Linked DNA regions of Arabidopsis thaliana. The protein of the gene in region 1 interacts with the protein of each later gene in a pairwise test. Each region holds a gene or a part of one and is shown in the gene's direction. Other genes may lie near its edges.

Evidence for each region. The genes of interacting proteins can lie anywhere in the genome.
Region 2: the proteins of SIP2;1 (region 1) and AT4G29450 interact in a protein complementation assay, tested with the Arabidopsis thaliana proteins (one large-scale study listed by BioGRID).

What each region holds. Positions count from the first base shown.
Region 1 is NC_003074.8:21,077,797-21,083,112, reverse strand, and holds SIP2;1 (small and basic intrinsic protein 2;1), read left to right. Parts: upstream 1-3,256; 5' UTR 3,257-3,468; coding exon 3,469-3,756; exon of another isoform or gene 3,757-3,938; intron 3,939-4,013; coding exon 4,014-4,274; intron 4,275-4,362; coding exon 4,363-4,523; coding exon of another isoform or gene 4,524-4,527; exon of another isoform or gene 4,528-4,629; coding exon 4,630-4,702; 3' UTR 4,703-4,816; downstream 4,817-5,316. Other genes in the region: PIP5K4 (phosphatidyl inositol monophosphate 5 kinase 4), read right to left, coding at 1-162, 251-367, 448-613, 699-866, 955-2,156; CRD1 (dicarboxylate diiron protein, putative (Crd1)), read right to left, coding at 4,844-5,107, 5,187-5,285. UniProt on the Arabidopsis thaliana protein: Water channel required to facilitate the transport of water across cell membrane. Inactive in yeast cells.
Region 2 is NC_003075.7:14,477,509-14,484,236, reverse strand, and holds AT4G29450 (Leucine-rich repeat protein kinase family protein), read left to right. Parts: upstream 1-1,610; coding exon 1,611-1,686; intron 1,687-2,039; coding exon 2,040-3,080; intron 3,081-3,165; coding exon 3,166-3,373; intron 3,374-3,455; coding exon 3,456-3,527; intron 3,528-3,607; coding exon 3,608-3,688; intron 3,689-3,768; coding exon 3,769-3,914; intron 3,915-3,995; coding exon 3,996-4,237; intron 4,238-4,313; coding exon 4,314-4,440; intron 4,441-4,529; coding exon 4,530-4,592; intron 4,593-4,701; coding exon 4,702-4,891; intron 4,892-5,054; coding exon 5,055-5,400; 3' UTR 5,401-5,488; downstream 5,489-6,728. Other genes in the region: PLA2-GAMMA (Phospholipase A2 family protein), read left to right, coding at 307-424, 531-650, 718-891, 1,020-1,171; AT4G29440 (Regulator of Vps4 activity in the MVB pathway protein), read left to right, coding at 6,516-6,556, 6,648-6,728.

The sequences.
Region 1 (5,316 bases):
TCTAAAAATGAAATTCAGATCAAGATCTTTCAAAATTGTATTTGAATTGATTTCCGATTCAGGTTTATCGGTTGTACGGCCAAGAGAAGATCCTTTCAAATCAAAGCGTCTGTGGATGGAGTACTCAGAACAAAATAGGTTTCCCATAATGACAAACCGCACCTGCAATTTGCAATAAAGGAGATGATATATTCAATCAAAATCCAAGTCTCAGTTTTTTTGTCTGTTTAGCATTGTTCTTAATTCTTACCTTCTTTTGGATTGGTCCAGTTAACTTCACACAGTGGAGACCGTAGAATCTAATGACCAAAGTGTTCTCAAATGCTCGAACATGGTTGTAATATGCTGCAAGCATCCTCAGAAGCACCTGCATTATATAATTCCAGAATAAAGTTAATAGCAGCTACATATTTTTCATCTTGTCATTTTAAAATAAAACAAACTCACTTTAGTTTCAGACTTCTTCATTGTCTTTATCATGTAACGATCATCATTTGTCAAGTAGAAAAAGCTTCCACTCTTACCAGGGGATGATAGCTCCCGAAGGGCATCATTCCCGCAGATCGATAACATGTAATCAGCTGGGTCTACCTTGAATAGCTTCCTCAAGCTCCTAAAGATAGATAAAATTAGCATAACAGTGTGTGAGAATACGTACAGATGGGAAATAAGTAAAGCCTAATGTTATTTGATCTCACCTAAAAACTAATGGGCAATAGTCTTTCCATTTGAATTCACTAGATTGATGAGGAGGTGTGTATTTGGTTCCTTCTGGTGGAAATCTTGTCCATACCTTCTCCTTTGGATCAAAAGCCGAATGCTTAAGATCAAGAGACACAACCGGAGCTTGTTTTCCAACAGCATGTCTGCGTAAGCAAATACATTTCACATGAGCGCTTATACATCAACAAAACTTCAAATTGTATAAATGAGGCAGCAAACTGGGATATTTACCTGATTCCAAGCTGTAGATTAAGCATAAGCTCGTAATTCCGGTGGCCTTTAGATATCGTCTCGCCTTGCTTCCTCCCTGCCCTTGGCAATCTCATAGGTGCAGGGCTCGGTCTCAGGCTCTGAATGAACCCTTCAGCCTCTAGTCTCATCATTTCAGCATCCAAGTCCCTCCTCGTGGTGGAATCAATATCAGCAGCACCTTCTCCGCTTTCGGTTCCCCACATATTCATCTTCTCAAACGCTCTATCTACACCCACACTTACCCTCCCGTCAACAGACATCCTCCTCGGTTTCTCGACACGTTTGGAAGAGTTCCAAACAGATAGCTTTTTCTGTGAAGGCAACACAGGAACTCTCTCTCCGCTGCAGATCTTGTACTCACTCAGATTAGTAAACACGTCTTTAGGATCCCATTCAGGACTCCCGTCGTCTCCTGATGGATAATAAGTACCGTTCATCTCTTCCGGATCATTAGACCAATGACCAACGTAGAAACTCCCATCAGCCCATTTGAAAGTACCGTTTCCTCTAGGAAAACCGTCATCCCAAAATCCGTCGTATCTATTCCCATCCGTCCAAATAAAAGTACCTTTGCCACAGATCGTAGCGTTCTTCCATTCCCCCATGTAATAGCTCCCATCTCTCCACTGATACTTTCCTTGGGCTTCTTGCAAACCCCTCCTCCATTCACCATCATACACATCTCCATTCGCGAAACGCTTGATTCCATGTCCATGTTTCAGGTTCATCACCCACTGACCTTTATAAGTATCTCCACTAGGACCTGTGTAAAGGCCAACACCATCCATGTATCCACTTTTGAATTCGCCTTCATATGTGGCACCAGAAGGCCACCCGAACTTCCCTCTTCCCATAGTCTTCCCGTTGTACCAGTCACCAATGTACATGCAACCATCTGTCCAAAGATACTTCCCATGCCCGTGAGGAAAACTATCATACCATTGCCCTGTATAATAGTCTCCATTAGGAAGTATTCTCTCTGCATGGTACAATTCCCCTATGCTGCTTCTGTTAGTGCTGGTCTCATCATCATTCTCCTCAGTCGTAGTAGTAGCATCATCATCTGTCTGTGGAGCTACAGATACCGTCCCAAAAATGCTGTTTGCACGCTTCTTCGCTTGTTGGGTCTTTCTTACGGTCACCTCCCAAGCCTTTAGAACACAGCTTTGTTCCTTGCTCATCTTCTTAAACTAATAAAACTTTTCTCTAAGATACCTATATGTATATCCTAGAACATAAACTCAGAAAACATATTTGTTCTTGTCTAAACAACAATCCTATCAATGTACACATACACAAGAGAAAACCATGAACTCTGTGCAAAAGAAAAAACAAAGTGTAAACCTAAAACCATTAAATCAAACGCAGCATGAAGAAATCTGCAATGGTCTTTACTCTGTGACTTCCTGTCTCTATGCCATTGAATCACAAGAAAAAAGAATGTTTTTTGGTCTTTTAGAATGCAACATTTTCGGAGTGAAAGCTGATATGAACAATCATGGAAACCTAACAAAGAATCAGAGAGAGAGAAAAACCAATGGCCAAAAGAGTTAAGGGATCAAAAAAATTCTCTCCGACATTTCATCTTTTCTTGTCAATTCATCTTAACTAATTATGTCGTTCAAAGAAGAAACCGTTCATCTCCTCAAACCAATGAAAGCCTTCAAATTTAGAGAAACAAGCATGACCCATTTTTCTCTATTCTTAGCATCTCCGAGCTTTCCTCTCATAAACAAACATATTTTCTTCAGAACAAAAAAAATCGGAAAAAGTAATAATTAATCAATTTAGCCAAGACTGATAACGTCTCCAATCTGAGATCACTAAGAGCTATAATCAAAAACAGAGGTAACTGAAACTCTAACTCACTGAGGCATTCTGTCGAACACTTTAAACGCATTGCTTCTCCACTAACAAGTCACATTTTTCCGTATATTCACAACTTATTTTCAAAAGGAAAGATCCATTCCCAATGCTGAAGCTTCAAACACCATAAACGATAGAAGAGAGACAAAAGTTACAACCCAAAGCCAAGCGTGTAAAGATCAAAAGGTCATATTTTTCCTGAGGGGAAACTTCCGTCGCAGGTTAAAATTGGAGGGCTTTTTTGTAAACAATTCTTAAGAAGGCTAATTGTAGTAATTTATTTGTAATTATTAGTTAACTGTGTAAAGTAAATACTTTATCCAGTAATAACGTATCACTTTAGTTGATGTCTATTGGTTAATAGCCGAAGCTCGTTCCAAAATCGAAGAGAATCTATAATCTCATCACGACACACCAAAGCCAAAACCTTTATTGTCGGAAGCTGACTCAGACTCAAACAATGTCTCTAGCGTCAATTATATGCTAAATTCACCAGCCGCTTAGAGCCAATCATATAATCTCGATTCTCTTCAACGGTCCTCAATTATCCTAAATTCAGATCATAAAAACGCTAACTTTTAATTTCTTTCTTTCTGAGAAATTGGTTCTCATCGTTGGAATCGAAAAATGGGACGAATCGGTTTAGTAGTGACTGATCTGGTATTGTCGTTCATGTGGATATGGGCAGGAGTTCTGGTCAACATTTTAGTCCATGGAGTTCTTGGATTTAGCCGGACCGATCCTTCCGGTGAGATCGTTCGTTATCTCTTCTCTATCATCTCCATGTTCATCTTCGCCTACCTTCAACAAGCCACCAAAGGCGGGCTTTATAATCCTTTGACCGCTTTGGCTGCTGGAGTCTCCGGTGGCTTCAGCAGTTTCATCTTCTCCGTCTTCGTTCGAATCCCCGTCGAGGTTTGTTTCGTTGACTTTTTTTGGTTTAATTGAAATTGACTCTTCGTTAGAGAGAGGTCTCAGGGTTTGTGTAATGTTGTAAAATGTCAAATTAGAGAAAAAAAAGGAGAATTTAGCTGATGGGTTCTTCTTTGAAAACCAGATCATTTTGGTTATATGCTCTATTGTTTTATAAAGACTTCATCTTGAAGATCTTTTGCTCTAATGTGTAATCAAAGATGATACTATTGTGAAACTCTGGTTTTGTGTTATTTCAGGTAATAGGATCAATTCTTGCGGTTAAGCATATCATTCACGTATTCCCTGAGATTGGGAAAGGACCTAAACTAAATGTAGCAATTCACCACGGTGCTTTAACAGAAGGGATACTAACATTCTTCATTGTACTGCTCTCAATGGGACTAACAAGAAAAATCCCGGGAAGTTTCTTCATGAAGACTTGGATCGGTAGTCTTGCTAAGTTAACTCTTCATATTCTTGGCTCTGATCTTACCGGTGGATGCATGAACCCTGCAGCTGTATGTACCAAAAAAAAGTCTTGTGATTGTGATTTCAGCAAATAGCGATCTTTGTTTTGAATGTTTGCTTTTGTGTGAATCTTTGCAGGTTATGGGATGGGCTTATGCACGCGGTGAACATATAACGAAAGAGCATTTACTTGTGTATTGGCTTGGACCTGTGAAGGCTACGTTGCTTGCAGTTTGGTTCTTCAAAGTTGTGTTTAAGCCTCTCACCGAAGAACAAGAGAAACCTAAGGCCAAATCTGAGTGAGGAATGAGGAATGAGCTCAGCTTTCATATTTAATCCTCTCTGGATAAATCTCCTTTACACAAGACACAGAGGGTAGGATTGTTTCCAGGGATATTTTCGTAGATTTTGTAATGTGTTTTTTTTTTATGTTGCAAACTCAACTGTATCAACCAGTTCAATAAAATCTGAAATTTAAGTAAGTCCAATGCGCAATATGATCAAATATATGCAGTAAAAGTTTATTGCAAAAAAAAAAAGACGATGTTTCTCAGTTTCGATCATTCAATTACAAGAAATCAAGAACCAGCCGTAAACTCAAGACTTGACATTGCAGCTACTAATAGACAAGATTAGGCTCAAACTCGGCGAAATCAACAGAGCCAGACTCAACAGGAGGCATGAGATAAGCAGCCAAGATCTCAGAGGCTAAAGAAGTAACCAAAGGAATCCTCTTGAGGGTCTTGATGAAGGAAGCATCATCTGTTTCTCCTATAGCCAGCAGCTTCTCATAGCTCACAACCATTCTATCCAGTTTCCTCTTGAACTCAGGGTTCTCAACATCCAGCACCGCAGGGAATATTCTTGCCGTGGTTCGGTTTGTCTGAAACAAATCTCAACATTTTCAGAAAAAGGAACATAACACAGGTTAATATTAATCTTCTTGTTTCAAGTTCCTTTACCTCGATGATGACATGCATATCGAACTCCTTTGTGTTTAACCCGATACCCTCGTAGAAATTAGTTCTTTGGCAGTCATTGAGGTACATTGTCACATAAACCTGTAAAGCCAATCCTCTTACTGGTTAGGCC
Region 2 (6,728 bases), on another chromosome or scaffold:
TACATAGCTTAAACGTGTTCTGTTCCAAGAGGTAACAAAAATGATACTCTGTTTTTACCGTCCATGATAATGCTTCTTCGAGAAGGAACGTCCATAAAATATGATGATTTGATTGGTAGTCATGCAACTTCTTCATTTTTTAAATTCTTGTGTACGTAAAAGAGAGAGAGAGGGGAAGGACAAGAAAGCAGGAGGACCAACCAAAAATGGGATATTCCATTCCAGAGAGAGCCAAAAATAGTTTGGGACAGAATTTGAAAGAACACAAAACCCAAAAACTTCAACCAGAGAGCGAGATTTAGAAAGATGATCACCGGGCTTGCTTTGTCACGTGTTGCTTTCGGTTTAACCGCCTTCCTCCTCCTCGCCGTCGTTAGCAGCCAGGAGAAGTGCAGCAACACCTGCATTGCACAGAACTGCAACAGTAAGATTGTTTTTTTCTTATCATCTTAGTTCTTATGCCTTCCTTTGATTTTGGAGAAAAAAACTTGTGCATGCATTATATGTTTTGATCCAATCTTTGTTTTCAGGTCTTGGTATTCGCTATGGGAAGTATTGTGGGATAGGTTACTTTGGATGTCCTGGAGAGCCACCTTGTGATGATCTTGATGCTTGTTGTATGACTCATGACAATTGTGTTGATTTAAAAGGTAAACCAATCAACAACATAATCTATGCATGAAAACCATTCTTGAGTTAATATTTGGTTTTTATTAGGTATGACTTACGTTAACTGCCACAAGCAGTTCAAACGTTGCGTAAACAAGCTAAGCAAATCTATTAAACACTCTAACGGAGAAAAGATTGGATTCTCCACACAATGCCCTTATTCGATAGTGATACCAACCGTGTTCAATGGAATGGATTACGGCATTTTCTTCAGTGGGATAGGTAATTATTGAGCTCTGATTTTGTGACATTCAATATAAGCTAGTACTAGTGATGAAACCACATGACTCTTTTTCTGTTACATTGTGACATTTCTTATGATAAGATATATGTGAATAATCTCTGCGCAGGTAATATATTTAATCCCCCGGTGCTGGGAAGCGTGCCCGTCGTGGAGGTGGATCTCGCTCGGAGTAAAGTGGACACAAAGGATGGCCTTGGAACAAAACTAGGCCTTCAAACAAAAGAAGGCTCCAAAGTCTCTGCTTCTTTAAATATATGAGCCCTTCTAGTACTATTTCTTGATCATCTTCTAAAGTGACTACTCTCTGTAACTTCGTTGTTATAGAAAATTCATAAAACAAAAAAAGACTTTGAATTCTGTCCCAGATCAAAATCAACTGGCAATCAATGACTCAGTCTATGTATTTTATCTATTATTTTGGATGTTAATCACATCTTTAATAACTTCACTAAAGTCAAAACGTGACATTGTCACTAATTCCATCTTATAAAATCCAGGTTGTCTTCCTGTCCTTAGTGGGAAATATATATAGTTACTGAGCCAATGATGAAAGAAAAGTCTACAAACACCTGGCTAATACCATAAAGAGTAGACTTTGCACTTTTTGGCTTTTAATTAAGCTTATCTTACTCGCACGTAGTCTGTTTTTTTCCTGAAGATGGTAAGCTGAAGAACTTCTGAAAAAAGAGAGAAGAAAATGAGGGCTAATCTCGTTTTCGGCATATTTTGTGCCCTTGTTACCACCATTTTAGTTCACGGCCAAGACCAATCAGGTTCCCTCTTCTCCTCTCTGTTTTGATTTGAAATTGAGGCGAGGTTCAGACTGAAGAAAGCTTGAGTTTTATTATGAAAAGTTTTTGTCTTTTAAACATGTCTTGGATTTTTAGTCAAACCCTTATACAATGTCTTGTGTTACAAGTAATCATACAATTCTCTCTTTTCTCTGTTTTCTAATTTGAAATTGACCGATGTTCTTGAAGGTTCTTGAAAGTTGTGATCTACGTTTTTGTCAATATAGAGAAACGAAGTTAGGCAGATTTTTAAACCTATCCATGAACGTTCTCAGACGTCATAAACAATTTTACTTGTGTTGGAAGTAACTCCCCTTTCTTCTCCTCTGATCCAGGTTACATCAGCATCGATTGTGGCATACCTCCTTACGATACCCCTGAAGACACTATGACTAACATTAATTACGTCTCCGATGAAGCTTTCATAACCACCGGCGTAAACTTCAAGGTCTCTGAAGAATACGGCTATCCAAAAAACCCGGTATTGCTGTCAACTCTTGCTGAAGTAAGAGCTTTCCCTCAAGGAAACAGAAACTGTTACACCTTAAAACTTTCACAAGGAAAAGATCATCTTTATCTCATTAGAGCTTCCTTTATGTATGGAAACTACGATGGTAAAAAAGCTTTGCCTGAGTTTGATCTCTATGTAAACGTGAACTTCTGGTCGACAGTGAAATTCAAAAATGCTTCTGATCAAGTCACCAAAGAGATTTTAAGCTTTGCAGAGTCGGATACAATATATGTTTGCCTTGTGAATAAAGGCAAAGGAACTCCTTTTATTTCAGGGTTAGAGCTCCGACCAGTGAACAGCTCAATCTACGGTACTGAATTTGGAAGAAATGTCTCTTTGGTTCTCTATCGAAGATGGGACATTGGATATTTAAACGGAACAGGACGGTACCAAGACGATAGATTCGATCGTATTTGGTCTCCATACTCCTCAAATATCTCCTGGAACTCGATTATAACATCGGGCTATATCGATGTTTTTCAGAACGGTTATTGTCCACCTGATGAAGTTATTAAGACAGCTGCTGCTCCTGAAAACGTTGATGATCCGTTGGAATTGTTCTGGACATCAGACGATCCAAATGTTCGGTTCTACGCATATCTTTACTTCGCGGAACTCGAAACACTAGAGAAGAATGAGACTAGAAAGATCAAGATTTTGTGGAATGGTTCCCCTGTTTCTGAAACTTCTTTCGAACCTTCTTCAAAATATTCAACGACGTTTTCTAATCCAAGAGCTTTCACTGGTAAAGATCACTGGATTTCTATTCAGAAGACTGTAGATTCAACGCTTCCACCGATTCTCAATGCTATAGAGATTTTTACCGCACAATCTCTAGATGAATTTTCCACCACAATTGAAGACAGTGAGTTTCCACTTTCAATCTCTATTTAGATAGAATTAGATTTCTACTGAAACTCACATAGTCACATTTTCTCTTGGTAATGCAGTTCATGCTATAGAAAGCATAAAAGCAACTTATAAAGTGAACAAGGTTTGGAGTGGTGATCCTTGCTCCCCAAGATTATTCCCTTGGGAAGGTGTTGGATGCAGCGACAACAATAATAATCATCAAATCAAGTCCCTGAATCTTAGCTCAAGCGGATTACTAGGACCAATAGTCTTGGCATTTAGAAATCTCTCTCTTCTTGAGTCATTGTAAGTATACGTATACAATTGACATTTTTCACCACTTTTTATGCACATGAACTATCAGAGAGTTATGCATTGTTTTTCTCAGGGATTTATCCAACAATGACCTGCAACAAAATGTGCCTGAGTTTTTGGCTGATCTAAAACATTTGAAAGTCCTGTAAGTAAGCACAAATATACACAGTGTTGGTCTATTTAAATAATGAATTTGCCTCTTGACACATTTACTTGTGTTGTAAGGAATTTGAAAGGAAACAATTTTACTGGGTTTATCCCAAAATCCCTTATGAAAAAGTTAAAGGCCGGTTTACTTACGCTCAGGTAACAGTTTCTAGCATTATTCAGAAAGTTATTCAACACAAGCACTCTCTCTGAATCTTGTGATTTCCTCTGTTTTGCAGTGCGGATGAGCAAAACCTTTGTAACTCATGTCAAGAAAAGAAGAAGAAGAAGAGCATGGTCGTGCCAATAGCTGTAGCAGCATCAGTGATCGTTCTCGTTGTCGTCTTGGTTATCATATGGATCATACTAAGGCAAAGAAAAAAAGGTTAGATGGCTGGAATATTTACTTCAGGATTAATGAATTGAAGTTGTTTTATGCTGAGAAAAACGAGTGTTTTGATTTCAGGAGCCTATTCAGGACCACTCCTGCCTTCAGGGAAGAGAAGGTTCACATATAATGAGGTCTCTAGCATAACAAACAACTTCAATAAAGTGATTGGTAAAGGAGGGTTTGGTATTGTGTACCTTGGTTCCCTTGAAGATGGGACTAAAATTGCTGTAAAGATGATAAACGATTCTTCATTGGCAAAACCTAAAGGAACTTCATCATCATCATTATCCCGGGCTTCTAACCAATTCCAAGTCGAGGTGATCTAAAGAACACCAAAAACATGATCAAATATTTTAGAAATTAAAATGCTTAAGTACTGTAAAATGTTTGCAGGCAGAGCTTCTTTTGACAGTGCATCACCGTAACTTAGCTTCATTTGTTGGATACTGCGATGATGATCGTAGCATGGCTCTCATCTACGAGTACATGGCCAACGGCAACTTGCAGGCTTATCTTTCAAGTCATCTTATTATCTCTCTATATATCTCTGTTACCAATTGTTGCTTTGCTTCCTATGAGCTCACGGGTGTTATGTTTATGGACATGCAGGTGAGAATGCAGAGGATCTTAGTTGGGAAAAGAGACTCCATATAGCCATAGATTCTGCACAAGGTTGGTCCCGGTTTTGGCAACCTTGATTCCTCAGGGCTTAACCAAGAAACCAAACCTGGTTTAGCCTAGTTCTGTATTGTGAAACCTGGTTTTATTTCCCCCTTGGCAGGTTTGGAGTATTTGCACGATGGATGCAGACCAGCAATAGTACATAGAGACGTTAAAACAGCAAACATTCTAATAAACGATAACTTGGAAGCCAAGATTGCTGATTTCGGCCTTTCTAAGGTCTTCCCTGAAGACGATCTCAGCCACGTCGTGACTACCGTCATGGGCACTCCCGGCTACGTTGATCCTGAGTAAGTTCCTTTTCACAATCAATACAGATCACATGTTCTGGCTGGTAGCTTCACAAACCAGAGCGGTTTAGTGAGACTAGGGTTAGGGTTGGCCAATTCAGTTCGGACCCTTTTTAAGTTTATCAGGAATACATGGTAACCAATTTGCGACGTGTGGTGACAGATACTACAGAACATTTGTGCTGAACGAGAAGAGCGACGTGTACAGTTTTGGGGTCGTTCTTCTTGAACTCATCACTGGCCAGCGAGCCATCATCAAAACAGAAGAAGGAGACAATATCAGCGTTATTCACTACGTTTGGCCGTTCTTTGAGGCTAGAGAACTAGACGGCGTCGTGGACCCGCTGCTTCGGGGAGACTTCTCGCAGGACTCAGCTTGGAAGTTTGTGGATGTGGCAATGTCTTGCGTCAGAGATAAAGGATCGAATAGACCAACGATGAACCAGATCGTAGCGGAGCTGAAACAGTGCCTAGCTGCTGAGCTGGACCGTGAGCCACAGAGCCAGTGAAAGTCAAAGAGATTACGGAGAAGTAGGACGAAGCCAAATGGATTAAAAGAGGTTTGGATAATTTCTATATAGGTTATTTGTGTTGTATGGTCAGATTCATATTATGATTGACTACAATTTCTAAAAGGTTTCTACTCAAATTCTTTTGTATAAAATTCGATCGTTGTCGATTCCGTTAAAATCCTACTTGTAATAGTTTTGTGATGAAATGAATGATTCATATTTCTCATAATTGCTGATCTAGGAAATTAACGTACTATAGATCAAATTGATAAGCTTTGAATTGAGTGATGAATCATATATTTCTATTAAATTGTATAGAGTTTTATCATGTTATTTTTGTTGAAAATAAATCAATTAATTTCTTCTTAAACAATTGTTTTTTTTGTCTAATACAAAAAATGCTAATTTTGAAATTTAGTTTTATGGTATTTCAGTTATCTGTTGTCGGTGTCTCTACATTTAAAGACATTTCAAAACATGTGACCCACTAACTCTAGACATATACAAAAAATCGGTTATAATTATTTAATACATATCTAGTTATTTTGTAACGCTTTAAATTTTATTAGCTTAATTATTATTTTTTCAAGATTGTTTTGATATTAATGAAGATCTGATAAAAATCATTGTTTATATATTAAATGATTCGGGGATTAATTGGAGTAACGAAAGATATTCAAAGTTGGAAAATCTAATATTTGAATAACCTTACAAAATCAATAATGTTAATATACAAGATTTTTGTTTAAATTACTGTCGACATGACACATGTCTTTTTCATTAACTCGTTTTTCTGAGTTTTTGTTTTCTTACATGATTGTCATTTTGACGCGTTAATCAAAATCTTCTAACACTATTTAACCCGTTTTTGCCAAAAGTCAATTTTTCTTTTTTATCGTCTCTATTTCACCTCTTCTTCTGCGTCTTCTCCAAAATTGATACTTTTCTTCGTGTCACGTGAAGGTCCATTTCCTCAGATCACAAAATTTCCATCTGATTTCCTCAACAAAAACCCTTAAAGCCCAGATTTTTCGTTTCAATTGTGTGTACTCGGAGACTCCACAAGACCTCAAAAGGCTTGACCTTTCGTTTCTCTAATCAAGTTTCGCTCAATGAAGAAGGTGCTTCATCGAAGTTTCAAGCCTGCCAAATGGTATATTCACTTTCTCATTTTCCTCTTGCGAGTTTCTTCACATTACCGGAATATTGATACATTTGGGTGATTGTTATTTTCAATAATGAAGCAAAATTGCTTTACAAATGGCGGCTTCACGCCTGAAAATCCTGAAGAACAAAAAGGATACACAGATTAAGCAACTGAGGAG